2 linked regions of the Oryzias latipes genome follow. The protein of the gene in region 1 purifies or fractionates together with the protein of each later gene. This does not show direct contact. Links are inferred from orthologs where the notes say so. Each region holds a gene or a part of one and is shown on either strand. Other genes may lie near its edges. The genes, in order: stk40 and cop1.

The links.
Region 2: the proteins of stk40 (region 1) and cop1 purify together in Homo sapiens (affinity purification with mass spectrometry; 3 studies listed by BioGRID and IntAct, counting the BioPlex papers as one, with this or other methods). This does not show direct contact. The link is inferred for Oryzias latipes from reciprocal best matches to the Homo sapiens genes STK40 and COP1.

Annotation. Positions count from the first base shown.
Region 1 is NC_019874.2:23,402,110-23,418,123, forward strand, and holds part of stk40 (serine/threonine-protein kinase 40), read left to right. Parts: intron 1-817; exon of another isoform or gene 818-1,047; intron 1,048-2,187; exon of another isoform or gene 2,188-2,287; intron 2,288-4,094; 5' UTR 4,095-4,103; coding exon 4,104-4,221; intron 4,222-4,690; coding exon 4,691-4,776; intron 4,777-5,437; coding exon 5,438-5,581; intron 5,582-6,397; coding exon 6,398-6,622; intron 6,623-6,876; coding exon 6,877-6,929; intron 6,930-11,364; coding exon 11,365-11,480; intron 11,481-12,595; coding exon 12,596-12,740; intron 12,741-13,028; coding exon 13,029-13,148; intron 13,149-14,276; coding exon 14,277-14,361; intron 14,362-14,484; coding exon 14,485-14,721; 3' UTR 14,722-16,014. UniProt on the Homo sapiens protein: May be a negative regulator of NF-kappa-B and p53-mediated gene transcription.
Region 2 is NC_019875.2:19,743,131-19,759,144, forward strand, and holds the end of cop1 (E3 ubiquitin-protein ligase RFWD2), read right to left. Parts: intron 15,636-16,014; coding exon 15,571-15,635; intron 15,467-15,570; coding exon 15,347-15,466; intron 13,888-15,346; coding exon 13,819-13,887; intron 13,692-13,818; coding exon 13,632-13,691; intron 13,286-13,631; coding exon 13,206-13,285; intron 13,061-13,205; coding exon 12,997-13,060; intron 12,915-12,996; coding exon 12,800-12,914; intron 12,293-12,799; coding exon 12,157-12,292; intron 10,257-12,156; coding exon 10,113-10,256; intron 9,944-10,112; coding exon 9,835-9,943; intron 9,727-9,834; coding exon 9,645-9,726; intron 9,572-9,644; coding exon 9,455-9,571; intron 7,983-9,454; coding exon 7,865-7,982; intron 7,353-7,864; coding exon 7,228-7,352; intron 7,150-7,227; coding exon 6,989-7,149; intron 6,848-6,988; coding exon 6,803-6,847; intron 6,523-6,802; coding exon 6,505-6,522; 3' UTR 5,483-6,504; downstream 1-5,482. Other genes in the region: xrn1 (5'-3' exoribonuclease 1), read right to left, coding at 1-29, 174-259, 339-449, 548-657, 1,575-1,672, 2,015-2,247, 4,118-4,192. UniProt on the Homo sapiens protein: E3 ubiquitin-protein ligase that mediates ubiquitination and subsequent proteasomal degradation of target proteins.

The sequences.
Region 1 (16,014 bases):
TTGTGCTGAGTCAAGACAGGAGGACCAGTGCGACTCAAATCAAGCTCTGCCATTTGGGTTTCCCTCTCTGTGTCTGTCACATCTGCCCACTTGTTGGAAACTGGTAGCTGGGGGTGGACTTCAGGATCAATCAGCCAGTCTAAATTGGGAATATAGGTGGGCTTGCTGAAATGTCAGCAACTCAGAAATGTGCTTACACACCAAATGAGTCACAAACTGCCTCTTGGAGAGCTCAGTTGCATGTTAAAAGACCATTCCTCCAACAGTCTTAAACAAATGTCACTACTTATGAAGCATTTTGACAGCAAAAGTATCCCAGTGATATTAAAGTCTCCTGTATTATTCAGAGGACATATTTAGGGTGTGATGTCTCACTTATCAAGTTTCACTTACTCATTAACTCCTGACACTGTGAACATGCTGGTTTTGTAATATTTTACACCAATTCTTTGCGTGGAAGCTACTTGTTTACAATAGAAGTACTAGTTTGAGACAGAAAGGGCTATACATCTTATTATCCTAGATTTTTATTTTATTGTAAATTATTTCAAACTTTTTGGACTAGACAATCGATTTTGTTTTCATTCTAATTTTTTTAAGTACATAGTTTTTATCTTAAATTTAGATAAACTTAAATTCCTATTTTTTAAAAATTGCTTTTTGTAAACGTATTCAACTCTTCCAGTACTGAGTACTGTCATGATGTAATGGTTTCATTTTGCAACTTTTATTATGCAGAGAATGTCATCATCGGTGTGCAGCGGCTGTTGCCATTGGTTGTAGGAAGCTGTCAATCAAATCTAAGTGTGCGTCACTTCCGTTGTCAGGTGGTGCTGTCGCTGTGGAAAGATGCGATCAGCTTGGAGCGGAGGCTTTTCTTTAATTGCTCATTTCAGTCTTAGAAGCTAAGCAGCCCGAAAATAAGGCGCCGTGTCGTTCGTCGTTTGAACGAGGAGCTCCCCACACACCCACCGTGGCCGTGAACCAAGAAATGTCCATGTTTTAAAAGCAGTCAACGCAAATCTTTCCCGGTGGTTTTGGCTCGAGGTAAGCGAGGGGGGTCGACTGCGTTGCTATTTAGCTCTCGCGGCACTGTTAGCCAGCTGAAGTGTTGGCTACTTTGTTTAAATGGCCTCCCGGCTGCTACAGACCGCTCCGACTTGACGTTAGCCAGCGTTGTTTGCCAACAAGCATATTTCAACCTTTCTGGTAAACAAAGGAACACGGTGAAGAAGCAGCGTCTGTTTGAGCAGTTTGGTTGAAGCAATGGTCTTAGTTCGCACGGGAAGCTAAACTCTGTCTTCTTTCGCTGCAGTGCAGTGCGTCCCACTTTGTCTGGCTAAGTCAGTGCAACCCGTTTGTAGCCTCGTCTCCGGTCAGTATATTCTGGTTTCGTCTCGTGTTAAGTTTTGCATTCCCTAGCTTGGTGTCGGGTTTTTAAAAATATATATATTAATAAGGACATACAGGAAGAAATGCAGCGTAAAAGGTCAGTGTTTTCGTGTAACACCCACGTCCGCAGTGCAATATTAACCGTTCAAAACAGGATATATTTTAAACATTTCATCTTTCAGTTGGTGGATTGTGGGTTGTCGCTAAGTAAACACCGCGTTAGCGTTGACTCGTCATTGTTCACACTGCCTGCTGCACCAGCACAACTCAAATCTCCAGACTTTGCAACTCAAAATGGCACCAAACAGTGTAATAGTGGCTGTGCATTCGTTGTTATTTTGGTCAGGTGGTTTCGGTTTAACCTTGTGTCCTCCCCGTGGTCCAGTGATCAAGGGCATTTACTCTTTGCAGTAGAATAGGGTTTATTTTAACAAAAGCTATAAAGTAGAGCTCATGAGCTTAAATGTATTTTCCCTAACTCTTTTGTTTGAATATAAATGCAGATGACAGAAGTTGCATTCTTTAATTTGATTAAATTAGTAACTCCATTAAATTATCTATTTTTTGCTGCTCTGATTATTATTATTATTTTTTTTTTTGCAGTCCTTTTTTTTGCAGAGCCAGACAATAGGCATCAAGTCTGGGTGGAAGAAACTCGAGACACCTACATGGCCGTTTTGTTCTGCTACTATTTAAGGAGCCCACATTTCTCGTGGGCACTCGCAGCATGTCTCCTCCTTTTGTATATGATATGATTCAGAGGCTCTATCTGCTCCTGTCCTCCCTCTTGTGCAGGCAGAGGCCGCCTCGCTTGCCAGATCACTGGCTGTGCAGAGGAACACAGTGGTGTCAGAAAGGGATCGCTATGTGCTGTCATCGTGCTGATGTCATTTAGGTCAGTGTGCAGACGTTGGTTGTGTTGACCTTTTGCTTTTAAGATCTGTGTCTGGGTTTGGCTCCACAGCTCTGTAGCAGGTTTTCAGTCGGTAGATAAAATGCCTTGGGTCTGTGTGTTGCGTTGCATATTCTGTCAGTGACTCAGTGAAGTCTTATAAGTCCAAGGTGCATGAGTTACATTTTTTTTTATTTACTGATTATGTGCCGGAATAAAATGGGGCCTGCCGGTTCTTGCCGAAGGTGTTTGCCTAAAATATTTATCAGCCTTCCTACTTCTCGGATGAAAAAAAATATTTGTCTGGAAGTATCGCAAAGCGTGTTTACTTTAGCATCCGCCGGAGGTTCCCACCGGGCAGCTTCACAACAACTGCAAGTCCTGATTGTCTACTTCTTGCATCCAACAGATTTGCACTATTTTCAGCATGACTTTGTGTCACTCTGACTTGCACTACAAATGTTGTCAGAAAACCTCAGTTCATCAGACTCAGTGGGTGATGACTAGTGGAGATGGAGACAGATGGGTGAGAGACATGATGATGACACTGTCTGCTGTCTGGGATCACAAAAAGCCTCATGGAAGTGAGAATTCATACGAGCCCTTACCGACTGCCAACTGTCCAAACCTTGTCTGTGCCCAAAAACACCAACTGGCGAGTGCCTTTGTTGGTTTTGAAACAGGAAGATGGCCTGAGTGGTTGGGAGAAAGGGGGGAAAATATGGAATTTTTTGCACTCATAACAACATGTTTTTATTTTTATGTTAGTTTTCCTCTAAATGCCTTGTTGGTTGTTGAGCCGGATTGTACTTGAAATGGAACTGCTAAACTAAACAGACCCCAGCTGTCATTGTTTTGTTTTTTTTGTATCTGTCATTATCTCTTATTTTGCTTAAGTTATTTTCCAGTTTTGTTGTTATTTTTGGTTATTCCACATATTGAACAAGTGAGCAACGTCTAAAGAAAACTTTGGAAGACTGCGGGATGAATCATTCCTTTCAGTTTAGTGCACTACTTCCCCATTACTGGAAGCAGATGGGGTTTCACCTCACGGTAACTCAGTATTAAGAAAACAAACCTTTCACATCTGATTTCTGGGAGGTGCTTGCGATCTGGCGTGCTGAGTTCAGCTTGTTAAATGTTGATGCACTGTCACTGCTTAGGGTTCCATTTAAATGTGCTTCCTTACTGTTGTGCAGAGCTCTCGCTTTGTTGGGACATGTAGGTTTTATTTGTTTTTGTTTTTTTAGGGGCATCTGCATAGATAAGACGGCTGAAAAGATTCTGAGTTAAGCATGCAGATTAAGGGCATAAGATTTTTTCTTTTTTTCTAAACCCACGTCCACTGAGGCCGGAACAGATTAGAGAATCAAATTTAAACGCTTCAGTTTCAAGAATGTTGTGCAATGGCCTTTTATTTGCGTGCAAGTGCCCTCCGTTTTAAATTGCAGATTGTGACACGCTCTCTTTGCTTTTGGGGGGGATTGAATGTGAGGTGTTGCCCTTGCCGCCTGCAGCCATTATTCTAAATGGAGCTGTAATGGCCTCATCTTCACACTGAGGTGGTTAAATGTGAGGGGAGGGATTTTTTTTTGTAATGGGTTAGGTGGAGCTGCCCTTAACTTTACCCCCTTCACACCTTTTATTTTCATGAAGCATTACTTTCTAAGAAACTACATTTGTAAACTCTTAAAAAGTTGTCTGGAAATCAATTATTAAAACGTCATCCATTCACAGTTTGAAGCCCCTTGCATGCACTTGAACTTTACTATCTTTATCCCTTGAACTAATCAGATTTGTTCTCCCGCAGAGCTCCAGGATGTCCAAGCGGCGCTCGTCAGAGAGGGGGGCTGGAGAGACATCAGGCAGAACCAGCAAGCTGCAGTGCACAGGGATATCTGGCAGTAATGCCAAGAGGGCCGGCCCCTTCATCCTTGGTATGGAAGCGAGCTGCTTTTTGTTGTTTTTTTTTCTTTCAGAAAAGTCGCAGAAACCTATTGAGGTAGAAATGTGTGTGGTTCAAAACTGTAACCCTGCGTGAGTCAGAAACGGAGGAAATGATTCTGTGAGGTTTTGGGGTGTCTTGTGTTTGCACAATGGACGCTGATGCAGGGCTAAGACAAGAATGCTAAGAATGTCGCTGATCCCTATGACATTTGCCAGAAAGGCTTCAGTGTGGGTCGATGCAAGGCTTCTTCCTAGAAAATGTGTTTTAATCATTTTTTTCAAACACAAGACATCTACACCACAAAACCTCCTCATAATTTCTAAATTTTGCACAAAAAAACGTATTTTACACTAAGGCTGAGTGCAAACTCAGGACATAGAAAGTTGTGGTGTGAGCACACACTTCAGCATGTAGGCTGCCTTTTGGTCTCACAGCTGTTGCTTTTCTAATCCTTGCAGGACCGCGCCTAGGCAACTCACCAGTACCGAGCATAGTGCAGTGTTTGGCCAGAAAAGATGGCACAGATGATTTCTATCAGCTCAAAGTAAGTTTGGTTTCAGACTCGCATTATTGTTTTGTTGGTTTGGTCATGCTTGCCCTTCAAAAGAACAGTAAAAATGAAAAGATTTTTTTTAATTTGAAATGGTTTATTTCAAGCAATCAAGTAAGAATAATACACAAAAACAATACAATCAGCTGTTATACATTCATACAAAGACCTATACCAAACCTAGGATAATTAGACATAAAATTAAATATTGCTTGAAAGGGAGTGGAAGGAAGGAAATTTATATAATCCCACCCCAGTTCTACCATTTTTATTACATGATTTATCAACTTTTATCGGACAAAATTAAGAATCCTTAGGTATCAATAAAGCACATGACAAAGATGAATTGCTTAATTATTATGTAAAAAATAGACATAACTATTTTCAAATAGTTATGTATCCAATGCATTGTGTGATGGTTTGGCACGCATGTCTTGGTGCAGATTTTATCGCTTCTTTTTCAGTCAAAGCAGCACAGTAGGCACTAAAGGCTCCATACCGTTGGAGTGCTCATCTTACTTTAAACAATCCCAGCAGCTTTGATCATTTAGACTTTTGAACTCCATGATTGGTCCTTCAATAGTTTAATGAATCTGCAAAAAGGTCAATTGAAGCTCAGTGGTTTTCTTGTGTTTCTGTGGTGTGTCCCTGACAGATCCTGACGCTGGAGGAGCGGGTGGACTCTGCTGGGGAGACCCAGGAGGAGAGGCAGGGGAAGATGCTGCTGCACACAGAGTATTCTCTCCTTTCTTTGTTGTACAACCAGGATGGGGTGGTCCACCATCATGGTCTTTTCCAGGTACTTTAGAACAGTTTAAGCTACATTTCTGTTAATGGCTTTGCAATATGTTTTTTAGCACTGAATGTATGTGATTGGCACAAGGAGGGTGTTTCACTCAGTGCCGTGTAGGCGTGCATTCTGTGTAATTGAGATTTGTAAATGCAGTAACATTACCATAGAGAAGTGGCTGCCTTTTTCAGTTTTCAGTGTAGCTTCACAGCTCAAGTACAAGAAGTTGTACAATCTCACTGTCAGTACTCCACAGTTGGCTTGTATTTACTTCAGCCTTTCATTTTTTTTTCCATGTCAAGTTAGATATTCATTAAAAGCAATATTTACCTGCGGCATCCTTTCACAATGACCTCCCCCACCTGCCTGTCTGTCTGCTCCTTCCTTTACTGTTGTAATTCTTTCAGCATTCTCTCCTTCTGTCATTCTGTATATTCCCTCCCCTGTGTAAGCTTGATATAAAGAAGGGTTCAATGTGTATCTTAAACCTGAAGCTTGATACACAAATCAATCATTTAGAAGCCACAAAGACTTCTAAGTGGCAGATTAGAAAAGAGGCAGGGGACTCTCTGTTGGTTCCAAAAATGCCACTGAAGCCTAAGAAATGCACTCACAGCTGATGGACGTAACCTGTTCTATAACAGTACTCCTACAGTTGTTTTACTTCATCATTTTTTCGTTTTTAGCATTAATCCATTTGCTGGACCTTCCAAGTTTGTGCATTTTTTAAAATTCGTTTTGTTTTCCAACACAAAATCCTTCAGAAACATTTTAGTGTCTTTTCTAAGTTTTTTCTGACCCTTCTTTTTAATCTTTGTCCTCCAGGACCGAGCCTGTGAAATCGTGGAAGACCTCGAGGCCAACAAAATGCGAAAGATGAAGAAGCGCATCTGCCTCGTTTTGGACTGTTTGTGTGCCCATGACTTCAGCGATAAAACGGCAGATCTAATAAACCTCCAGCATTACGTTATAAAGGAGAAGCGCCTGAGTGAGCGCGAGGCCATAGTCATTTTCTACGATGTGGTTCGTGTGGTGGAGGCCCTCCATAAGGTAAGCTCTATGATATGGCGAACTGTTAAAGAAAAGCATCACTTTTAAATGTTCTGGGTTTTTTTCCATCAATGTTTTGTTTCAACTTGGAGGAAGAAAAAAATTGTTGTGCTGGTTGCATATCTAGATGATTACTGGTTTCCCAGGGTTGTGTGCCACTCCCTGATACAAACTGATTCTTGCCATGCCAGCAATTCACCAAACACGGTGTGAACATACTGATGTTTTCTTTCTCCTGTTTTTTTCCTTTGCAGAAAAACATTGTTCACAGAGACCTCAAACTTGGAAATATGGTGCTGAACAAACGGTAAGTTTAGTAAATCATCCAAGCCTCTGGGTCAGTTCTCTGTGAAATAACCTATCCGGTGGTGGGTCAAATTCTTTCATCTGACAGTAAAATCAGTATTAGGAGCCCATAGTGCTGCTCTGCTGTGCTTGAATTTTTGGCTTTGTCTGCCTGTTGTGTAATGGTTTATGAATCATAACCCACGGTTGGTTTTGAGTAACAAACCCCATTTCTTAATAGAGCACAGACTGCTCCGGTGTCAACGGGACTGCTTAGGATTCAGGGTGTTTCTGAAGTGTTTGCAGCTCATGCAGGATCACCTCTATTCTGATGACTGAGAGACCAAATATCTGCAGATCAGATGAGCCACAAAAGTTTAAGTCTAGCTATGGTGAAATGCAGTCCAGTCCCAGTAAAGTACCATATTTTTCAGCGTATAAGTCATGTTTTTTGCGTAGTTTTTTTGCGTAGTTATACTCAGGTGCGACTTAATGTTATTTTTTTTTTAAACTAAATAGCAACATGCCACTAGAGGGCACTGTAGTTTGTATCAGCATAAACTACTGTCAGCAGCAAAGAAGAATCTCTGCTCAGTCTTAGTTGCGTTCACAGCTGTTTGCACTACATCTCCCATGATTCATTGGGTTAAAGTGACAGCGTCTCAGCGCACAATGAGTCTTCCTTGTAAAACGTCTTAAAACCACGATGAACACGCTTTGAACAGTTTTTAAATCTTCTAACTTAACTTTTATTACATCATTTAGAAAAAACATCTGCAACTTCCAGCTTTTTCTGCCACAATTATCACAAAAATGCATGTGAGATTGCAGAGGGACTGTAGATCAATACATCACAGACTGAGTTTCTCCTTTTTTTACATTTTTGGATGCTGGTGTGCCGCAGGATTTTTGTCAAGGTTAAAGTGTCGTGGCTCATAAAAGGTTGAAAAACACCGTGCTAGATGGCTATGTTTCATGAACCTAAATAAGGATCAAAGTGGTGCAGTATTGAAGCCTGTATATGTTCAGTTTATAATTGTTACTTATTCCATAATTATGATTAGCCCTTCAAGACTAAATGTCTATTCTTGGTCCCATATTTTGTTAAATTTCTCCTAAAGGGCGACTTCTATATGTTTTTTTTCCGTTTTTATTATTTTTTTAATGCATTATTTTGGCTCCTGTGACTTGTATTTCGGAGCGACTTATAGTCCGACAAATACAGTATCTAAGTAAAACAAAGGGCGTAGAAAAACAACCTTTTTGGAATTCATGGCAGCAAAATCCGCCATCTAATGTTCATGCAAGCGTTTGCACTATTGCAGATGCTGATGGGTTTGTTGGGTTGTACAATGTGCGTTTGTTCACACTAACGGTTTGGTTTGTTAACCTGTTGTGTTTTACGAGCATAAAGTACAGCAATAAAACTGAATAGCCTTCAACATTACAAACGATGAGCCTCTTTTCTTTCTCTTTAAAAAATGCCTTTCATTATTTGCTCTCCGTAGATAAACACGGAACAAAACAAGCATCTTCTGCAGCAACGGGAAAAGATTTGGTCGATAAATCTTTCGGTAATTCTGGCACTCTGTCAAAATTGCTCAAACCTGGAAGGCTTTTCTTTTAACTGCATGCAATGCATTTGTATGCTTTTAGTCAGCAAACGTAACCCTCCCATTCAGCAGCTGTATTAGTAGCAGAGCTCAGTGTTTTGGCTGGTAGAGGGGGGTGGTGGGGAGAGAAGCAGACAGAATGCTCCGTCCCAGCTGGAGACAAAGGAGAGGCCTGCCAAAGGCCCCCATAGCTCAGCGCTGACTCACAACAGAGTGCAAGTCACGCACGCACTCACACTCATCATTTTTCGCCTGTGTTCTGCTTTTGTTCCTTTTTTTTTTTTTGTTTCTTCTCTCTTTCTACTGAAATCCCTCTTCCACTTCCACTATCTTTTTAGTGTATCCCCATTGCCAAATTTGTCACTTTCTCTTCTTCTTTATTTCTCGTACTTCCTTATTCTTACGTCTGTCTCCTTACCAAACATGTGGATGAATGTACAGTCAGTGTGGGAACACGGTCAGTTTGTGGCGCCGTGCTTTAGAAAGAAACAAAAAAACAAAATCCCCCCCTCACTCATGCTGCTTATCACACCTCTTGGAAATGTACCAGTTGCATCAAAAAGCTCAGCAGTTTGAGCAAGAATGATGCGATTTCCTCTTGCTAAGCCAGCTTTGTAAAAACAGGATGTCATTACTCAACCTGCAGGGACAGAAAAAACGTATACCGGTATACTTTCTGATTTCAATGATTTGCAAAATGTATTTGCGTCTCCCTTAGATTTACTGTTGTATCTATTACCATATACACATAGAAGCTGGATTTTTTTAGCAGGATTTTCTTCCTAGTTTCATGATGCAATTTCATTTTTAGTCTGGGTTACATAAAATCCTAACAATGTTGGTCTTATAAAGCTGTGAGGAAATAACTGTGGCTGCTCTTTAACTTTTCATATTCTCATCAGAACAGACCAGCTGACCAGAAGGGCAGGAAGCAGAAGTCATTAGGGCTGCTTAGGTTCAGTTTCCTGATTTATCAAAGGTCACATGACCAGGAAGCGGCAACGGTGTGGTCACCCCACAATCCAGTCACTCTTGTCTCACGGGGCAAACATGCAATTTCAAAAAAGGTCATGATGCAGACAAGACGAAGTGTCAGAAAGGAATTTCAATGTTCCAAAACCGTTTACATTTTTGCCAGGCCGTCTTATGTTAACAGGGTTTTGACTTGCATGACTTGTGAAACTGGAAAGATTTGTGGATCAAATATTCTACAAACAAGGTTAAGATGAGAGCATTTGGTTTCAGCTAGTTTTAGTGAGAATGCTTGGCTCCAGCCAGCGTTTGTGACTGGAGTAATGACAGTGTGTGATGGAGCAGGCTGTGAAAGTGAGACTGAATAAGGGAAGCTGCTGACCTCATGCTTTTTGGAAAGCGGATGTGGGTGAAAAGTGTGATTGTGAGAGGACATTTTTGTGTTGTGAGTTCTTTTTTTAAAAAGGCCAGTTTTGAGCACGTATGAGAAGCTTTATAAGTGATTGTGGATCTACTTCAAGTTGTTTTACATACCGGAACATATGTATTGTCCAAATAAGATCTTTGATTTAAAAACTCAGTTCAGTCACTTGGATTTGGTAAAATCCCATTTCTGTGTGTCATAGTCAAACACAAGTGACCTTAATAACTGTGTTTTAGTTTAATTTTTTTTGTCTGTGAACTCCAAATTCATTCAAATTCAAATTTTTTTTTGTTAGTCTGATGCTACGTTCACACCAGGCACGTGCAGGACGTTCAAGATCGCACTGAACACGGGTTCTTGAAGGTGCTTTTAGTCTATGATGTTCATACTGGATTGTCGCATCCCGATACAAGCACATGTTGGAAAAGGCTTGGTGTGAAATGTTGAAGCAGTGCAAATTTCACAAATCTTGCTCCAGGATTTTTCTGTCACAGCTCTATTCCGATATATGGAAGACTTGGTGACATGTAATTCCAGCCGGGCACAAACCTTTAAATAAATTCTCCTTCATGATCAATTTTGGCACCTCCGTGAATGAAAAGAGACACAACCCATAGGTCCCTAACCAAATCAGAGTCCCTGCTTAGTCCACATTTAACTGGTTTAACTTAAACACACGTTCAATGGTGATGGTGATGGTGATGCGTTTTGTACGTAGAGCCCAAAAACTGACTTTCAAACTTGCGCAGCGACGCGTGCTACTTTCCACGCAGACCCCTGAAATGCGGATATTTTGATTGGAAGTGGCTGCATGAACGTATGTTATTGAGACCTGGGGTGAACTTTCTTTGGTCTACCTTAAAACTAAAAAAGGCACTTTATTTAATATCATTTATATAAATGAAACACCAAAAAATCCCTCAAGTAATTAGAAATATGGGTTGCTGAAGTGTTTATCAAGATTTTTATTAAACAAGCGAATTGAACTTAAAGATGTGTTATTATTGTCGGGGTTCATTGATTCTAAACTTGCAAAAGGAATCTTTTACTGTTAGTACAATCGTTATTGTGTTATCTGTAGTTATTATTTACTTTTAGCCAGAGTGTTGCAAATTCTGTGTGGACATGAGGGATATTTCGTGTGCATGGTTGAATGAAGTGTAATCTTAATGTTGTTGTTTGTTGCTAATGAAAGTTCACTGCTGTGTAAATATGTTGCAATCTCCAGTCAGCCTTGGGATATTGAGGTCTGCTAGCAAGTGGCTCTACAATCCTGCATGTGCTTAACCAGTTGTTCCCTTGGTTCTCTTATGGGTGGCGCAGTCATCAGTAATGCCGTCTGGTCACTAGTAATGTGAATTTTAGGATTGATTTTGAATTGAGTTGATTTGAATTGCGTTGTAGAAATCCAAATCATTCATTGGCCCGTCGTGTTTGTGTGCTTGAAGGACTCATCGCATCACGATCACCAACTTCTGCCTGGGAAAGCACCTGGTGAGCGAGAACGACCTGCTGAAAGACCAGAGAGGAAGCCCGGCCTACATCAGTCCTGATGTATTAAGTAGTGAGTACAAATATTTCATGCGGTTTCCGAAAACGTCGTAAAGACTGGTTTTTGACCACCAAGCAGAATTAAAAGCTTATCTGACGGGTAGATGTTGGAAGAATAACTTCGACATTGTGTCCAAAGATTAAGTAAGTACAACAAATTAAAAGATGGCGGCGATACATAGTGTCCAAAACTGTGGACCGGAAACTTCTGGTTGATAAGTCACACACGTGTGGTTGTAGGGGTGATCCTGAGATTATTTTTACTGCATGTGTGGTTCAACAGGCCTAGATTTTCCAACTATTAGGCAACAGGAGGGCTATGTCGCAACCTGGGACCAGCTAAAGTGTTGCCGCCATGATTGTGCATTTGTTTGTATGCAAAGGAAACGCTCTTTGTATAAAGCAGAGATCCGTTCCTGCTGTTTACCTTCCCGGTGCTCAGTGTCACAGAACATGCACACACAACCAACCCTGATGCAGGATCACACTCCTCCATGAAACGCATTAGCAGCATCGGTTTCATTAATGATTTCCCAAACAGCATTACTGGAACCAGGTGTAGAAAGGCCGTATCTGTCTCGCCCAACCAGTTGAAAAGGAGATAAAAGCTCAGTGAACGTATCAGCATAACGTGACAGGAACACAATTAAACAGAGCTTCAATGAGTCATGCACAGATGACTCACTAGAGGGAAACTACTCCCTTCCCCCTACCTCTATATGTGTGTCTGTGTGTGTTTTGTGTCACAAGCTTTAATATAATTGTCGGCTGCTGTATCTCCTGCCACCCAGACTGTAGCAACACTTCTTTTGGTAATGCACAGCCATGGGTTCCACCCTCATCTGCTGTGTCCATGTTGGGCTGACATCTGCTTTATGTTCCAAGCTTTCCATGCAAAAGCAGCTTTCTGATCATGGAATCATGTTTGTAAAGATTTCCCCCAAGCACAGTGGGTGGGGTCATTGACTGCTTTCATTCATTGATACTGTCATGACCAGGATTGGAATTCAAAGGGTCAACTTTTGTCTTTTACCCAGGTCAAGAAACATGTTTTTTGGACTGTTCCATCCACACTTTCCATAGGGGAGTACACACTCTGACCTGACCTGTTTGTCTATCTTTTTCCAGGTCGACCGTACCGCGGTAAACCCAGTGACATGTGGGCTCTTGGCGTGGTCCTCTTTACTATGCTTTATGGCCAATTCCCCTTTTATGACAGTGCACCCCAAGAACTCTTCCGCAAAATAAAGGCGGCAGAGTACTCCATCCCAGAGTGAGTATTTCATACAAATACTGGTTACTCGTTGCTCTGATAAGACCCCCACTGTTCATCCACAAACGACCAAAGGAATTATTGCAATTGCTGTTTTTTGTTGTTGTTTTTTTTTATTAAATATGACTCCACCAAGAATACATTTGACTCAAACATGTTTTTTCTCTTCCAATTTTTTTAAATAGGTTTGGAACTTATTTCTATCAACGAACTAAAAAGTACATGTTGTATCCGCTGTGTTTCTCTTAAAATAAGCTGACTTTTCCTGTTCCCTCTGCCTCCTCACAGGGATGGTCGTGTGTCAGAGAACACGGTGTGCCTCATCCGAAAGCTGCTCGTTCTGGACCCACAGCAAAGGCTGACGGCAGGAGAGGTGCTGGAGTCCCTGGGTGCCATCATATCCTCATGGTAATGGCCCCCCCTGCTGGATGTTTTGTCATTTGTTCCTCACAGTGCCAACTATTTTCAAAGTGGTCTTTTAAATATGATAAAGCCCTTTTTAGCCCAAATAAAAAAAAACACATTGTCGTTATCTGAGACATAGTTTCTGCAGAGTGACAGTAGTTCTTTAGAACAACTACAGGTTGTGGGTGGGACAATTGGCGCAGAGTGCTTGGAGAGCTTGGAGCACGAAGTTTGTGGCCTGCCAAGCATATTTTCACAATTTGGCAATTTTTTCCCACAGCATTTTTTCATCTGCTCCTGATTCACAATAATTAGAATAAAGAAATACTCAGGAATGCAATTTGGAGTTTAATTTTCTTTATAAATGTTCTCCATCATCAGAAAAATGCCACAAGAACATGTTAACACAATTTTTCTTGAATTGACCCTTTAAAGTTAAAAATGTAATCCAACTGCAGACCTTATTAGTTATATTTAAAGCCAGAAACACAGATTTCCCAGAACACTTACAAAAGCTTTTTATTTTTACCAGAGGAGATGAAAATCATAGATTTGATTTCAAACAACAGTTTGCTCAAACAGCACTAAAGCAAAAGTGTTTGTCTATAGCAGGGGTAAACATGTGGAATTCCCAGGAGAATCAGCTAAAAAGTTGTCAAAATATTATTCAATGAAAACGGATGTATAAAGCAAAGAACGTACAAACTTGACTGTTGGATGGAATGTTTGGAATGTATGTTGTAAATCAATCAACGGTATGTATTTACTGTGTTTATGGTGAAATTTGAGCACAGGTGATGCTGTGAGAAATGTAAATATGATGCAATGTTTGAAAGGGAGCAAACAATTATAATGGTTGTATTCTTCAATTCTGCTCCTTTCCAATCATAAACATTTTCAAAAATTTACGACAAACATGTAAACATGTTGGACATTCAATAATTTTCATGAAAGGAACAAATAAATCAATGAAAAAAAAAAGAAAAATAAAAGTTTGCTGCATTTTACCAGAACCTGTCATTCAGGTTCATGTATGGAATTGTTGTTTTTTTTCTATTGTTTTTTTGAATCTCTGACTCCAAGTTAGATGCTAGTTTTGATACTCATGTTTTTCTATGAATTCAATCACAGGCAGTCTGTTTCTTCAATGAGTGGCCCCCTGCAAGTGGTTCCAGACATTGACGATCAGATCAATAATCCAGAACATTTACAAGAGGTGAGATCTGCCTGTCTATACTCATCAGCCCAAAACAGTGTGAGACGCCTTGTGCCTGTTTGACGCTAACCTTTGGAGGCCATTTTTGGATGTTCAGAAGTCAAAGTTCCTTTTTCTTCTCAGGCCAAGGCGCTTGAGGAGTCTTCGCAGTACGAGTTTGAGAACTACATGCGTCAGCAGCTGCTGCTGGCTGAAGAGAAGAACACTATCCATGAAGCTAAGAGCTGCACCAACAACCGGCATTTTGGCAGCATCCCCCCCGTCAGGCGTTTAGGCCACGATGCCCAACCTGTCAGCCCGCTAGACGCCGCCATCCTAGCTCAACGTTTCCTTCGGAAAAAGCCCCCAGCTACCCATTAAAGGCGTCTCGGGCTCAACGTGAACTGAAGATGCCCGCTGAGGCCAAAGCTCCTCGAGAAGGAAAAGCCCCAGAACTCTACAGGCAGACACCCCCCCCACCAGACGCGGGGTGTTGGCTATGCTCGGTAGAATTACGGTGGGCATCAGACCAAACTTCCACGTCAGAGCTCTACCTTCCCTTTGGGCGAACACTGTTGGAAACCCGGAAAAGCCCGATGGAGGCTCTGAACCAAAGGCCCCTCACCCCTTCGGTCCCACCCCCTCCACACACACACACACACACCCCATGACACAGTATCACATAGAGCTGGCACATGGCTTTGCCTGCAGTGTTAAAGAAACTACAAACTGTGTGCTCCGCCCCCTTCTTTGTAACACTTCCTCTTAATTCTGGGTTCTCTGTGCAACAGAGGTCCAGGACATGTAGCAAACCCCTTAACATAGTGGCAAAGAGCATTGCTTCAAATCGGTTCACTCGATTTTTACGGATGTCACTTCAGGATACCTCCATTCCACCTTTCTTCTCCTTCTCTTTCCTGTTTTCTTGTATTGAAAACAACTATGTCCATAACTCTGACTTTAAATCAATCTACCTCTTTGTCCCTCTCCTGTTGATAAGCGACCCTCCCTGCTCTGAGACAAGGGATTGTAACAACTGAGTCCTGATGCCACCAGTGACGTAAAGCATTCATGTTTTTTTTTTGGTTTTTTTGGGGGGGTCACAAAATGCTTTGAAGCCTTTTTGGTGGCCCCTAGAAATCTGAATAAGCTTTTTTTTTTTTGTCATTTGCCTCAATAAGTAGCATTTTTATCCCTGTAGTCCCATTGAAAGAAAGAACTCGATCCTTTTGGAATCTTGGCAATCCATTGTCTCCCGCTTTTCCTCATCCCTGTGGAAATTGATTTTTAGCATGTAGGCAGCTAGCAAGAGATGCCTGGAAGTCATGATGCCAAGAACTGAATGAGAAGCTGCTAGATCCTCCACGCCAAGGCATATTGATGGTAACTCTTCATCACTATGACGATGATCAGGCGCTGTTTGCGTTGCCAAAAATCATGTCTTAAATCTACTCTTAGCCAAGGAAACTGGTACTTACAGGCTCAGTCAGAATTCAGTGGCTTCCAGGCAACGTTTCTGTTTCTTCTTACTATCACAGCCGGCTGGACAAGTGTTCCTCGTATGAATGTGAACAGTCCTTCTCTCCCTTTGGTGCATCTGCAGTATCCCTGAGCGCGTACATGTGTTCAGACCAGGAGTCCGTGGAGCGGTTCTGTCTGCGACCCTAAGCTATC
Region 2 (16,014 bases), on another chromosome or scaffold:
GAAAAGTCGTCTCTTCAGGAGCCGTTATCCTGGAGGCGAAGACAAAAAGGAGAGTTTAAAACAAAGATAAAGAAGAATCTGAAAGAGAAGCTAAAATGTAAAAACATAATTGTACTTTTTATACTAAAGAAAACTTGGACTTGTGAGAAAAACAATCGAGAGGAACACCAAACCTTTTCTGTGATTTCTTCCCTCCAAAGCGAACCTCCTCTCTGAGCAGAGAGAAGTGCGGCTCATGGCTGGTTAAACCCAACATAATCTGGAAAACAGGTTAAAAAGCAAAGCAAATTACTCTATTAGGGCTCCAAAAACATTGTTTAGAGATTTCCGAACCTTACCAGGTCAGCATCCAGGCCATACAGGCAGTGCCGGGTGTTAGGATCATGACTGGGTTTGGAGTTCTCAGAGCGAATAAACTCCATGATTTTGTGTTCTCCCTCTCCCGGTGTCTTAAAAAGAAGAAGATGCCCCCACAAAGTCAAAACAAGCAACCTTCACTGAAGCTATCAATCAGTCAGCAAGTTGGAAAGAATGTAAAGCACTTCACCTCGTGACCAGACAAGTAGACTTTGACATTGTGCCAGAGCTTGTCAGTGGAGAGCTTGTTGTGGACAAAGTACTTAAGCTGCTCTTGAAGTCTCGCCATGAAGTCAGTGCCTGAAAAAAGTACATAGCTAAATGTGTGAAATACACTATAATTCCATTTCTGCTGTTGTTATTACCTGGAGTGAGCGGCTTAACGCAAAATGGCAACATTGGTTACAAATTTGTATCAGACAACGAGGTTTCCCTTAAGATAATGGACACCTTAAAGAGCATAGTCACTCATGAAAGACGTAAATATATATATTTATACATATATATATTAGGCCTGCACAATTTACCGCAAATTTATCGTTATCGCAATATCAAGCAGTGCAATATCCATATTGCAAAAGTCAGCAAAAATCGCAATAAATGGTTACCTTAAATGTGCTAACACAATCCTATGGCAGCTTGAAGCATTTAACGAATCAAATAAATCCATTTATGCATTTGACCAATTGGATGGACCTTTTCCGATGTTGACCAATCAGATGAGCCCTTTTATGTTAGATGTTTGCATCCTACGTCAACAAGGGTCATTTGGAGTATCATTTTTTTAAACTGTTGAAATGACATGGTAATGATGTTTTTGGTTGTTTTGCTATTTGTTTATATACCGCAAATTATATCGTTATCGCAATATTGATCACTAATATCGCACATCGCAAGTTTTGCTCATATCGTGCAGCCCTAATATATATATACATCCATAAAGGATATGCTGGGAGATAAAATGTTCATAGTTTTAAAGTCATCATAGAAAATAAGGTTTGATCTTGATGCACAGAAGAATCTTCAAAGGTTCAAACTGGTTCATCGTTCCTAATTTGTTCTCTTCTAACATAAATGATTGGCAACTTCATATGGTGCCAGCTAAAGCAGCAGTTACAGACGGCTGTGTCAAAAAATGAAACTACTTCATATATTTTATAGATTTTGATCCAATGGGGTCGATGACCAAAGAGTGAAAAGCTTCAGATTAAACATACCGGGAGTGATACAGTTGGAGTCGAAGCGAGCTTCTGTAGGAAGCACCTCTCCTTTATCCAAAGCTTTTTTTATCTTATCCTCTGCTTCTTTGGCAGACCTGAATACCAGCACAATGAAAACAATGAAGAGATTTATATTTTTAAAAGGAGTCTTCCAGGCAGAGTAGCCAAAGCAAAGACAAAATATAACTTAATACATTTTTTTATTTGAGATGGTAGATTGAGGTTAAAATAACAGAAAGTGATTCAAGGTATGACTTGGTTTCTATAATAAAGGCATGTTTGAATTAAAAAAAAAATAGCTTCAACAAAAAAAGTACACATAATAGGGAAAGAAATGACAATAAAAAACAAAGATAAGTAATTCTAAATCTGATTTCTAAATTATTGGTGATAGAAAAAAGAAAGATGGATATCTGGGCTTCTGACTGTGTCTCTACCTGAATCTGCGTCCTCTCTGCTGGTTCATCTTGGCCCTGGGTGCCACACCATCCACTGCCATGAAGAAGACCTTGCGAGGCTTGATGATTCTGAAGAGCACCTCCAAGTAATGGAAAATGTCAGCGAAAATCTTTTCCTCAGAGATGCGGAAGTGAACGTCCTCATCATTTGGGTGGGAGCACTGGTGGATGATGCCATTCATATCCAGGTAGAGATTGTCGAACTCTGGAATCTGAGAGAAGAAAGCAAAAAAATAATAATAATAAAAATAATAATATTAATACAGTGTCATGCATGTATATGTTCTCAAATACTAATAATTTGTTTTTTTGATTTGTTTTATTTTTCTACTAAAAACATTTAACCGTCTCCAGAAATCCCCTGTCCCAAATTCCTGGGAGACAACACTAATAACAGATGCAAAAATAATCTTAGGTGTTAGTATTTAATAAATACCCAGTTATTAGGGGTGTAACCAATAAATCAACTTAATCAATTCATCAAAGGCAATTCAGGTCGGCCAATGATCGCAGGGTTGGCAGTTCAATCCCCGCTCCCCCCCAGTCAACTGTTGTTGTGTCCTTGGGCAATACACTTCACCCTCCTAGTCTCCAGTGTGGCTACACTGGTGCCATACTGTGCTCAAAGCGCTCCACTGTAAGCGCCTTGAATTTTAGAAAAGTGCAGAGAAAACCAATCCAATCTTATTATTATTTTTATTATTATTATACTCCAACAATCCAACCAGATGGATCTGTCTGAGGCAAGTTGGTAATCCAATCGACCTATAAAACTTATCAAATTGATTCAAAATTGTAAGGAAAACAAGAAATCTGGAAACATTTGCCAGCACCGTTCAGTGCCCAGGTATTTATCTCTGAGTGACAATGGTTGAAGTTTTGGCTAAAGATGTCTTGGATCCATTTTATGTCAGTGAATCGGATCGTTCAAAACAAAACATTATCGCTGTGAATCGCCACCCAATTACTGAAATTATAGTTTAAAAAAAACAACAACATAAAAATGGAGAGTAAAAACTTAGGGAAATAAGCTGACATGGATTTTAGTGCTTGCACAGCTGAAATTTTGGTGTTTGCTTACTGATTTTAATAAGCCTAGACAGTCACAAACCATTGTAGAGCAGGTTTTTTTTTTACTTTTGTAACACCAATTTGTCATTTAAAAAAATGATTATATTTACAGTTTTTATTTTGTGGAATAATAATTTTCATTATTATAGTATTGAGCAGCCCAAATCTGAAAGAAAAAAAGACCCAAAACGCTTTAAGGAACTGGGAGTAATGACGTCTTTTATGGATTTATTGAAATCGTTTATCTGAAGTCCTCCGGCCAGCTACAAGAAATTGCTCTAAAAATTTTAAAACGAAAAAGCAAAAATAAATAAACAAATAAATTAAAAAAATAAAGAAACAGAATACCCCACACTTTTGTCAGTTGGGCTTTGGTTAAGACTTCTCCTTCACCAAACAGTTACAAAATAGAAAACAACTGACAGCTTTCCAACACAAGGAGCGCCAGACTGAACAAGTCTGATGAAATGACTGTTTGGAGACTGAAATAGCAACTTCCGCTCAAAAATCTGAATCACTTACGTTAAATTGATATTTTTTTAAATGTTAAAAGAAAAAAATGTTCAAACTAGTGCAAGTCTTCACACCATTTGTTAACTATGGCTACTAAACAGCTATTAACATTATAACGCTCTACCTGTTTACAATTATTAGGCTTCATTATTATTAATATGTAGATTTTATTGAAATTACAAATAAAAAGCAATACATTCATAAAATTTGTATATTTAGAGTGTATGACTCACTAAAGTAACTCAAATAAAACATTAGGGCGCTAAACTTAGTGTAGGAATATAAACGACGTACGTCGTACTGAATGTCAGTCTGGTATGTCGTGCGTTTAGAATTATTTTATCACGTGTGGCATTATTTATTTATTTATTTTTTCAAAAATAATGCTCTTAAGAGTGAGCAAAGGCGGCTCAAAGTTTCGCCTCCAACTGTAGCAAACGGCTAGCTATGCTAAAGGTGTGAATTGTGAAACAATCGACCCTGACTGCTCGGTCCTACCTGATGTTCCTTGACAACTTCACTGAGACAGGGGTAGCGCTCCGAGATCCAACGGTAAAATTTGGGTACTCCCATCTTCGTCACAAAGCTCTAGACTGTAAAAATGTTAACACTGAAAGGTTATCTCTAAGTACTCTCAAATGTTTGACTCGGTAACATCAGAACTTGCTTTAGAGTCCGGCTTTGTTTCCGTTTGCTAGCTAGTTGTCCATCCGCTAAACTACTCCGCATGTATTTGGAAAACAACAGTAAAACATAAGTTCCGCTCACCAGTTTCCTTTGGCGTATTTTTCAGTTGACAAAAATCTTTTCGATTGAAGATTTACGAAAAAACACGTTTTATCTTTGTACGCGGTTTCTAAAAATAATACACAACACAGTGTACTTTGTAAGATAGTTAAGTTCCATATTTTTGTTTATTTTTGAACGGCTGCGTATAGTGTTACTAGCACATAAATTCGTTTGGCTTTCCATTTATTTGTGTTGAACTTTTGTTTGTGTTGTAGGCATTGCGACAACTTCAACAGATGAACCTAAGCGGAAAAACACCGTTTTTCCTTTTTACATTAATTTTCAGGCTATTATAATTTAAAGAATGTAATTTTTCTGGTAAATTGTACTGAAAAGTCAAAAGAGAAATGCAATTTTGTATTTTTTTCTTGAGTCGAGAGCTGAAAATATTATTTTAGTATAGCTCTGCATAAAGTACAGTTTATCCATCTGTATGTTGGTTTTTCAAAATGAGACTAAAAATTAAATATAGAAAAACATTACTATACTAAGGGTAAAAACAAAAAATATACAGTATTTGGTAATACAGCTCTGGCATTCTAATAGGCTTTCAATATCTTTTTAAATATAGTACTTGACATCTAGAAATAAAATCGGCCTTCTTCTTGCTTGCTTTTAGGAGCATAATTATATGTATTTATCATTTTGGGTAATACTTAGTCCCTAGTTTTAACAACAGTAGATTTTTTTTCCTTTTATGAATTGATAATGCATTTTACTGAAATTATTTTCAGCATTGTGGTAAAGGTTTCAATTAAACATTTTATTATTCGTGTTCTTAACGGTGAGTCAGGTCTGTTGGAAATTCTGTATATTCCCGTTTTAATTATTTGTTCTGTGTACTGTTAATATTCTCATTCAGGTAAGTAGCTCTGTGGCCAGGAACAAATTTCCTCTCTGAGGACAAAGTTTACCTCACCTTAGTACAATTACGTATGTGCTAACCTCAACTTTTTATCTTAGATTTCCTCATTTGTACTAAAAAAAAAAAGCTGGTTTGTCATATTTTCCAAGCAACCTATTGCATTGTAATTAAAGAGAATATCAAAGACTTTCAAAAAGCACACATACCAAAATGTTTTAAATAATTTATTGTTAGGCAAATACAAAACACCTCTCTTATTCATCAATCATAAAATTGGCAGATCCTGGTGGCTTCTTCAATCCTTCCATTATTCTTTTTTTACATGTCCTTGTGGAACTCCACAAAAACTGGTAGCGGCGCCCAAAATGCAATGATACTCAGTTCATGCCTGCAGTTGTGCATTAAAAACAAAATAAAAAGAAACATCCCAGTGCTACTTTGAAAGAACTTCATCTGAGGCTTTGTGGTTATCAGTTTACAACAGTCCTAATCCATCAAAAAGTCCAGTTCCACTAACTGCAGGTTGAATCAAGCAACAATAGCTGTGGTTATAGAAACAAACACGTGGAGTATCATTTTGTTCTGAGAAAAAGATACGCTGAGATGCTACGTTGCTTTTGCCAGAAAAACTGCTGTACACTTGACAAAATGAAATTCAAGTCACCTTTATTAAAAAAAAAAAAAAAAACCCTGCTGTCTCCCAATCTGGAAAAACAAACAAAATATACAACAAAAAGAACAACACAAATAGGGAATAAACTGGACAGCTGACAGAGGGGGAATTTAAGTTTGCATGTTTTGTTTTGTGCTTTGGCCTTTAAAAGACAAAATGCAGGAGGTTGCATTTATCTGAATTGCCTTTGACAGAAATGGTTAAAGAGTTAAAAAGTCAAAAGTAAAAAAATAATAAGATTTGGTATAAAACCAGAGAGAGGTGTTGTATTGTGGCTGACAAACTGTGACGGATTAGGAACAAAACCGCTTTCCTCTGTTTTGTGCCCCAGCTTGGTTCTTTAACGGTAAAGCTCAAACGCCGGCACATCTCCGCCTGCTGTACTGGTGCCACGGGCCGACATTTGTCTGATGTCACACGCACACAAAGCTCAGTGAAATAACAGATGGATTCCGTTTCTTTTTGCTCCTCCGTTGATCAGCAGGCGATCTCCCCATTCACGGCTGACCCCTGCCCCCCTAAAGATAGAGGTCATGATAGCCCAAGCCTGGCAGGAATTCAGACAAGTTCAAGAACCTGTCAGGGAGGAATAGATACAGACATTTAGATGTTTTAAAGACATTTTTTTCTTTATTAAGCAATTTTTTGACAAACCACTCCCCCTCCCCCCCCCCCCCCCCCCAAATAATTGCAATTGTATTTTTTTTCCTGGTAAATTCTCATTAAATGGGAGGAATTATGCACTGATACTGGAATAATAAAAAAAAACTCAAACAGATGTTTTTAAGAGCTGTAAACATTTAACGGTACTATTAAAAAGAAAACATCTTTTTTGTATATTTTTTAAAACACCAACCTTGATAGTTCCTTGACTGTTCGCAGCAATGAGAACATTTGACTCCTAAAAGCAAATCATTTTGAATAAATCAGAGGTATTTTATGTAAATGAAAGCCTTGTTTAAAATATTGACAAAAGCCTTAAAGTATTGCTTACAATGGCAGAATTGAAAAAAGTATAGTTGACCAGTGAAGTGACACTTACTCCATCAGGCAGGGCTCTCCAGCAGACGGCACTCACAAACTCATTGGTGTCATCTTCTTTCTTGTCTTTGTCCAAAACACTCTTCACCGTGTCGAACTTGAATGTTAACAGTGTTTTGGAAAGTCCTTTGTAATACAGGTACAGGGAGTTGTTCTCACTTCCTAAAATGGACATAAAAACACTTTATATTAATGGCTAGTCTTTAAACATCAGCGTCAACGTTTCAAATGAACGTATACCACAGGCAACATAGTCTCCATTTGACGCCAGTCCAACAAAGTTCTTCTCGTTGATGTGACCCTTAAAGGAGCGCAGGCAGTGAGGTTTGTTGACGTTCCAAAGCTTCAGCTGGCTGTCCGTCGAACTATGAACACAGAACATGTACTCTTTATATGTGTGTGCACAAATCCTTCTTTATCCTATTTTTTTAGTTTTGGTTATTAAGTAGTTTCTTTACAGTTTTAAAAGCATTGTTTGAGAAGTCTAAATATGCAAGAAAGCTGCTAAAAATATGAAAGCGTATTTTAATCAATTTAGCTTCTGTGAAAGAAATAAACTTAGCGGCTCTCGTTTAAAGCTTTAAAATGTGTTTTTCTCACCTCTGTTCATGTGTTATATAGGATTATATAGGAACCAGACTAAATGTTAAATATTTGTTGATCTGTTTTGCCACTAGCACAGGATGATCTCTATTAATTGTATTATTAACATAAAAGTTTTAAAATTAATAAAATTAAAGTCCTTAATAGAAAACGTTAAGCAGTAAGACGTTGTCTGTCATTGCATTTTTAAAATATACTAAAATATTTAACATTTAAAAACAAATACACGATTACTTAAAACATTAAAGATGGAAGCAAAGGTAAACAGACTTACGCAGAAACGATTTCTTCCCCATTTACAAACTTAGCGTAGGACACGGCCTTCCTGTGGCCTTTGAAAACCATGATTGGCTGCTTAGTGTTGCGGAGATCGTAGTAGTGGACACAGTGGTCTGCGGACAAAAGAGATAAATTTCACAAAATGTTCAAATTGGGCCAGAAAATGATGAAGCACAACTGTTGTTGCTTTCTGTCAATAAAAACATGATGGTATTAAACCACAAACATTACATTTTTTCCTGATCTGCAACTCTGTGGTTAGTTTTGGTACTAAAAAAAGAAAATTATTTTAGTCTTTTATTTTCCAATCTCCTAGCTGCACTCCGAACGTAAACCAAGAATGAAAACTTACAGCAAAGTACCACACAGTTTCTGCTCAGAGTTAGAATACTTACACGAATACCCCTATAATAAAATATCTATGATCATTCATAGATATTCTTCTGTCAGGACATAATAAAGTTCTTTTGGATTGTTCAGGATTAATTGTCTTTCAAACAAACAAAAAGAAAAACAGTTGAGATGTGATGCTGAATAAAATAAAAGAAATACAATATTATATAGCAATGACAGAAAACATTTTTAATGCTCCTTAACTGAGGAAAAACCTTGAATATGTTAGCGTGACACTACATTGTCCCTTTACTTTCTAAAAAGAATAAAACACTGTTTGTATCCAGTTCTGTTAAAAGGAGTTAGGCTCTCTCTCTCTTTGTTTAAAATCAATTTGTATTTTGTATCTAAATAGCCGAAATTGCAAAATCTTAAGCGAGAGCAACAGTTCTCTTTTCTTTCTAAAAGCTTGTCTGTTTTGACTTTTTTTATATATAAATTCCACCTACATTATGCAACATTTTCAGGGGTTAAAAAAAAGTGCTTTTTGTTGTGAAAAATTAGAAGTAAAAAAAAAAAACAACTTAAGAAATTACCTCTAGAATTTCTTTACAGAGCAAAAATCAAACTATGAAAAAGATCTGGTAGAAGAATGCACTAAAATTGACTTAAAAAGTCTCCAAAGACATTTTTAAAGAATTATTATAATTCCTGAATGACGAGAGTTTAGTGCCCATAGAATTCTGAAATGTAATATTTTATGGTTACCAACCAAAGAAATTCAGAAATGCAGCCGATGACAATCATACCTCCCTACCCAACTTTGACTGAAGAACATATGAAAATTATATCATTTTATTTTTAACAAAATCTTTAATTTTATAGAGTACAAGCATTTCAGAAGAGAAACTAGACCCCCAAAATACTTGTGATAAAAGTGAGTGGTTTATAATTTGAGTTGGGGTTGTTGAAGGTAATTTGAACGATTCCACTTTTACAGTTTTTTAATTAATTTAGTAATATTATATTGACGACAAAAGCTGTTAAGGATTTTGCCAAACGCTTTATTCAATAAGCACACAACATGAACCAAAATAAGAGCAGAGTTTAGTTCCTTCTTGCAGAATACAGAAACAGAATAACTAAAGTAGATGTGGGAAGATATTTCAATTAATATAACCTCTTAACAAATGCAGAAAAACACTAAACCAACTGAAAAATAAGCAGATAAAGTGAGGATTGAAGAAATTACCTGCACAGCCGAATGCCAGATGATACCTGGATGTTGGGCTAAATTTAACGCAGCATACGTTAGCTTTAGCCTCGATGCTCGCTACTGAGTTGTCCAGATTGGTTGACCACAGCTTTACTGAAAAAGAATGTTGGAAATCTCTAACACGATTGATGAGGATGACGTGTTCAGACGAGGGCCAAATCTTTACCTTTAGCATCATCAGAGCCGGAAGCTAAAAGTTTGGGGTCCATCAGATTAAAGTCGACACTCCAACACCTTTTTTCATGTTCCTGAAAAGAACAACAGTGGAGGGTGTCACTGCAGATTAGGCTAATCAGTCAGAAGATAAAAGGATATGAACAGTTTTATCACAACACTTTCAACTCTAGTCATCACACCTGGTAGACTTTGGACCGCTGGCCGGTGAATCCATCCCACAGAATGACGGTTCCCTCATAATCGCTGCTAGCCAGAAGGTTCTTATGATAACTACTCCAGCTGATGCAGCTGCAATGAAGAAACAGATCTTCAAATGTAGATTCTTGTCAACCAAAGCTGGCAGAAATTTTTTTTTTTCCTGTTCATATGTGCATATCTGAAATTCTTTTTTTTTTTTCATTCATGGAGCACAGTTTTAAGCAAAACCTAGTCTCTGTCGAGGAATGAATTCCTTTACCTGATTTTGGAATTGCAGGTCATTTCGTTCACAGGATAGTGGATGTCCACGGCATCCTGGATCACGGTGCCGTACTCAAACACCTTGATCTTCTTGGTCACACCAGCAATGGCAAAGTAGTCACAGTCACGGTCAAACTCGATACTGAAACACACGCGAAGATGGAGTCAGTGATCAGACTTCTCCCTCATTTTAGGTACGGTAATCGTTTCCTACGACAACAAAATCGGAATTTTGGCTTTAACCCTTCAACTCCAGCACGTTAGTGCCAGTGTTTCAATTCTTTCTATTACAGTAATATATAAATAATAATAATTAATCATTTTAATTTATTTATTCCACAATGGGGAAATTCTTTCTCCGCATTTGACCCATTCCCTGTGGTGGCGGTGGGCTGTGGGCTGGCCGCGCCCGGGGGGCGACAGCTGGCTGGGAGGAGCGGGGATCGATCCTCCAGCCCTTCGGTTGTTGGACGACCTGCTCTACCCCTTGAGCTAAACTGCCGTCCTATATTTTTTATATATATATATATATATATATATATATATATATATATATATATATATATATATATATATATATATATATATATATATATATATATATCTATAGATATATATATATATATATCTCTATAGATATATATATATATATCTCTATAGATATATATATATATATATATCTATAGATAGATATCGATAGATAGATAGATATCTATATATATATATATATCTATAGATAGATATCGATAGATAGATAGATATCTATATATCTATATATATCTATATATCTATATATATATATCTATATATCTATATATCTATATCTATATATCTATATATATATCTATATATATATATATATATATATATATATATATATATATATATAGATATATAGATATCTATCTATCTATCTATCGATATCTATCTATAGATATCTATCTATCTATCGATATCTATCTATCTATCTATCGATATCTATCTATCTATCTATCTATCTCTCTCTCTCTCTATATATATATATATATATATATATAGATATATATATATATAGATTTATATAGATATATATCTATATATATATAGATATATATCTATATAAATATATATATTGGAGAAGATAGCTTTGCTGTGTGTATTATTCTTTTTGTAGTAATACATAATTTGAACAGACAAAGCGTTTCATTATGGATACAGAAAGCATTGACAGTCACGTTTCATGCTCTGCTGTAAAAATGGGGGGACCATGACATTCCTAAAGCGCGGGTGGGTTAACCAAGGCTGAGCCAACGGCGGCCCCTGCTCCGTGCTTAAAGACACTGCTGCCTGAGTGGGCTTGAACCGCGGGCCCGGCAGCAGGCGCCGTGGCAGGACGGCTGGGTCAGACGGGGCTACGCTTCTAATCGAGGAGGCACGCAAACAGGGACAGGTTTAGAAACCCTCCTGCGGGCCGCGGGGGTCCTCCCCAGGAAACCAGGGCTTTGCCGGCCCCGCTGTGTGTCGGGTTTCTCAGAGAAAGAAGAAAAAAAGTAAAAAGAAGCTCAGTGTTTTTAAACACAGTGACATATGTTCAGAGGATGTTCAATTGGCCGTTCTGCATGCCAATCAAGGGGCGTATTTCACGCCGAGGATGATGATTTTCTGACAGATTTTTAAAAATACATTTATCTTTGATGGCTTACCATCACATCGCAATCGACTGTTCAATCGTGATCGATGTTACGAGCACCCCTGCTTTCACTCTTCAACTGTTTACAGAGTTAACGCAAGTTAAGTGGATTACAAGTGCAGCGGAGAAAAAGCAGCTTTGCGCCGACGTGCAACACTTCACAGTAATGAACTCCTTCAGCGATCAACAAAAATCAGCTGTTTCCCGTTGATCGCGTAAATAGTCCAAGAGTTACGGTATATCAAATAACGTGTTATTTAGGTGTCACCAGCAACATCTCTGGTGTTAAAGGGTCAATATTACAATTTTCCCCCAAATAAGATTCTATAAATCCTGAGAGTAAAGTACAAGCTTAGTATTTGGTCTTTTGTACCTGGAGACAATGCTGGAGCCATTATAGAGGTCGCTGGCATAGGACAGTGTGGCCAGTGGCCGCACAGTGTTGTAGCGTGTGAATTTGGACAAACACTCCATGAAGTCATCCAGTTGGTTTAAGGTCCTACCCTCATCTGAAGACAGGACAAAAAATGTCAGCGGAAAAAACCCAAACAGTGAGCAAAACAACAGAAACCTTGGCCGAATCAGAATTCTTCCTCTGCGGCTTCTCCCTACCCCTAAATTTAGCCCTCCAAACGGAGAGTTATGGAAAAATGGGGTTACTACATTACTACCACTCGATGACGTCATCAATAGTCGCCGGTCAGCTACGGCCAGCGCCCAGAAATTGACATGGTTTTGTTTTTTTACTTTAAAAAGGTCATGCTAAAACAAAAAGTCATTAATTACACTTAAATGTTAACGTCTAACACGGAACTACCTCAGATTGCGACAACCCTACGCCTCCAAGTGCCTCTACAATTGGAAGGGTAATGGAAGAATAGGGATTAAATCCTTATTTCAACCCTAAATCTTACTGATACTTTATGTGACATTAGAAACTACATGAAATTATCCCAAAATAATTTTGTTTTCTCTATTAAAAAATACAGTTTCCTTTGCTGCATAAATAAATGCACCTGTGATGCGTGACATTTTGCTTGAGAAGTAGCATTGCTCAAGATCATCAAAATGAGCCGTCAGTCTCTTCCTCCTCGACGCTAACGTGCTGTTGTACCACGTCTGTCGTTTTCCCTAGACAAACAATTAAAAGAATACAGCTCAGGAAATTTTTATTCTGCAATAAACAATCAACATTTTTAGGCAAAGTTCATACCTGGGTGCTTCCACCAAATCCTGGAGGCTGCGTGTAATCTGCAGGCTCAATGATGCTACTACAACTACACAGGAGAAAAAAAAACACACACAAAATGTTTTCATCACACGTCAACATCCAAAAATAGGAGGACACTTTTGTAAAGAATGATGCCAAAGGTTTTTTTCTGTATTGACTTCCTTTTGGATAGGATTTTTAGGTTTCGGTACCTTGGACCTGGAGAGGGCGTCTCGACGTTTGGCACCGTACACTCTGCTTCCATCACTGGGGAGTGAAGTCCGCTCATTTCCTGTACATGTTGAAATAAAAAATAAAAACGGTTAGACTGCTGTTTGTTTCTGTTGTTAGGAGAAACGGATTGGTTTATATTTGATATGGAGCCTAAGGACAACTTCAGTCGTATCAAAGAAAATGCCTGTGCTTGGCAAGTGTTTTCAAATTTGAAATAGTCCGAAATAAAATTGAGGTTTTTTTCTTAATATATGTCCTCCATCATTAGATAGATGCTACAAGAACATTTTAAAAGCGCCCAAATTTCATTTTTTAATCAAAATGGGTCTTTCTTCCTGGTACTGGTTTGACTCCAGGAAGCAGTGGGAATGGCAGGTTTGGAAAAAGGAACCTAGAGAACGTACCTCGACACGCTTAATGTCCTCTTCAAGGAAGTTGAGCTCTTTCTGAAGTTGGTCTAATTGCTGTTGTTTAAGACGAAAACACAAATAAAATGATTTCAGGTTAACTTTCATGAATAAACATCTAAAAAACTTTCTTCTTTTTTCTATTTTATCACCATAAATTGCTTCTGTAACAACATCTCTGTACCTCTTTTTTATTTTTCCGAGCTTCTTTAAGGAACTCCATGAGGATCTGTCGTTGGGCTGCTTGTGATTCCTAATGCAGATAAACACAACCACCAAAAATTAAAACAACAATAAAAGTACATTAACTAATCACAATTATTCTTCTTTGACATTGGAAAAGAATTGTCAACACCAAAAACATAGCAAAAATGGAACAAATTTAGCTTTGTTTTTTTTGTTTTTTATGTTTAGCAAGATTCAATGGGACATTTTAAAAGAAAAAAAAGAACTTCTGAGTTTAGATCATTAAAAAAAAGAGTGCAGCTTCAGTTTGAAGATATGCTACTCAGTGAGACATTCATTTTTTAAAGGCTTGTTTCAAAACGGAGAAGGATAACAGGGGAATTTACTGGAATTTGTTGTGCCCTGTAGGTGGGTGGCACACAGCTACAACAAAGTCCTTAATTCTTTGGATCCACAGGGGAGTGGATCCGGGGTGGTTCACAACCCGCATTGTCAAGTTACAAAAAGCATAAATATGGTGGAAACATTTACACGACATTACAGAGAACTGGAGAAATAATTTAAAGGTTATTAAACTAAATCCAATCAAACATTTAGGGAGTTGATTTTATTTCCTCGAAGAGACATTTTTAGGGAAAAAGGCACATTCAAGTACCAAAAAATAAATGTTTTTTTTAAAGTTTAAACAAAAGAAACAAATGCAATTTATTAGCAGCTTAAGATTTTGTAACTTGTTGCGGCTCTTAAGCAATGCTGATGCTGCAGATGAGAAGTCAACAAGATTAAGCTGCGGCTTCGACTTCCCCTTTTTACAAACTGACCAAATAAAAAGCGGATATGCCGGGTTTCCATTAATCGCTGATCCTTCACACGTCGTCTGTGTCTACAAACAGCCAGCGATAACAATCGTCTCAGCTTCATCTGCCGTTAGTTTCAAGACAACCCTTGGAAATGACATTTAAAATATTTCTATCTGCCGTTGTATACTTTCACTTCCTAGAAGTATTGTTAAGCTCACGGTGTACATATACTCTTACTGGAAGGAGAAAGCTCAAACTGAATCTCATTTAACAGGAATGCTTGAATAAAGAAATACATAAATAAACATTTTCAAGGGTAATATTCAAACATCACATCAGTTTTTGACTTTTTAATGCAAATTTCTTACTCCGCTACTGGACCAACGGGATCAATCTCCATCATACCTTAACCGTCTAAAAAAAGTTATTCCGAAGACAAACAATATTCAAAGATATTTTTTACTTACCTAAACTTGTACTTTTATTTTCTTTAACATATTGGGCTCAATAGTTTTAAGATGTGCAAACATACTTTTACTTTGGAATCACTTTATAGAAGATATTCATATGTAACCGCATTAATCTACTTGCATCATGTATGATGAACCCAATCCTTACGTGGCTGCTTTTCTTTGTAATTTCTTTTCTGAACTTTGCCTTTTACCAAAGTGTTACCATGAATGGAGAAGCAAAGAACCTTAAAACCACAGAAACAGAAACACTTACAGCTTCCAGCTGCTTTTTCTTCTGAACCAAAAGCTCCAACATCAGATTGACATTTGCCAGATCCAGGTTTTCCTGATCAGGACTCAAAACATCCTGGAAGACCTGCCACCGAGAACCGTTCTACCATGTGGACGACAACGCAGAAACACAGAGAAGTCACTGGCAGGTTGGAAAATACCAGAAAAACAAAAACAGAAATAAAGGCATTTATGAAATGTACTTACAGGATGGTCTAATTTTAGCCTCTTCTCCTCTGATCTTTGCTTGTGTTTAAGGATCAGCTCGTTTACTAGAGTAAAGGGTTGGGATAGGTAAGAACACAGCAAACACAGCAAAGTGTGTCAAGGATGTTCAAAGTGAACACTGTGAACTTCACCTATGAATCGGACATCATTTGATCTAATTAGATAACAACCAGGGATGTCACAATTCTCGATCAAAAACTATGTTACACCATTAAACCAAAGGAACGAGAATCGTTGCATCTCTACTGTAAACCAGTATGTTAAAGTTCAAAGTTGGGCTTAAATTTAAAGTCCCACTCCAGTGAAAATCATGCTTTTGGTGTTCATTTTCCTCATGAATGGAGGATATTCCTAACTAAAAATGAAGCATTTCCCAATATGTCTTTATTCTTTAAATCGTTGAGATTTAGGAGCAGAAAAAAA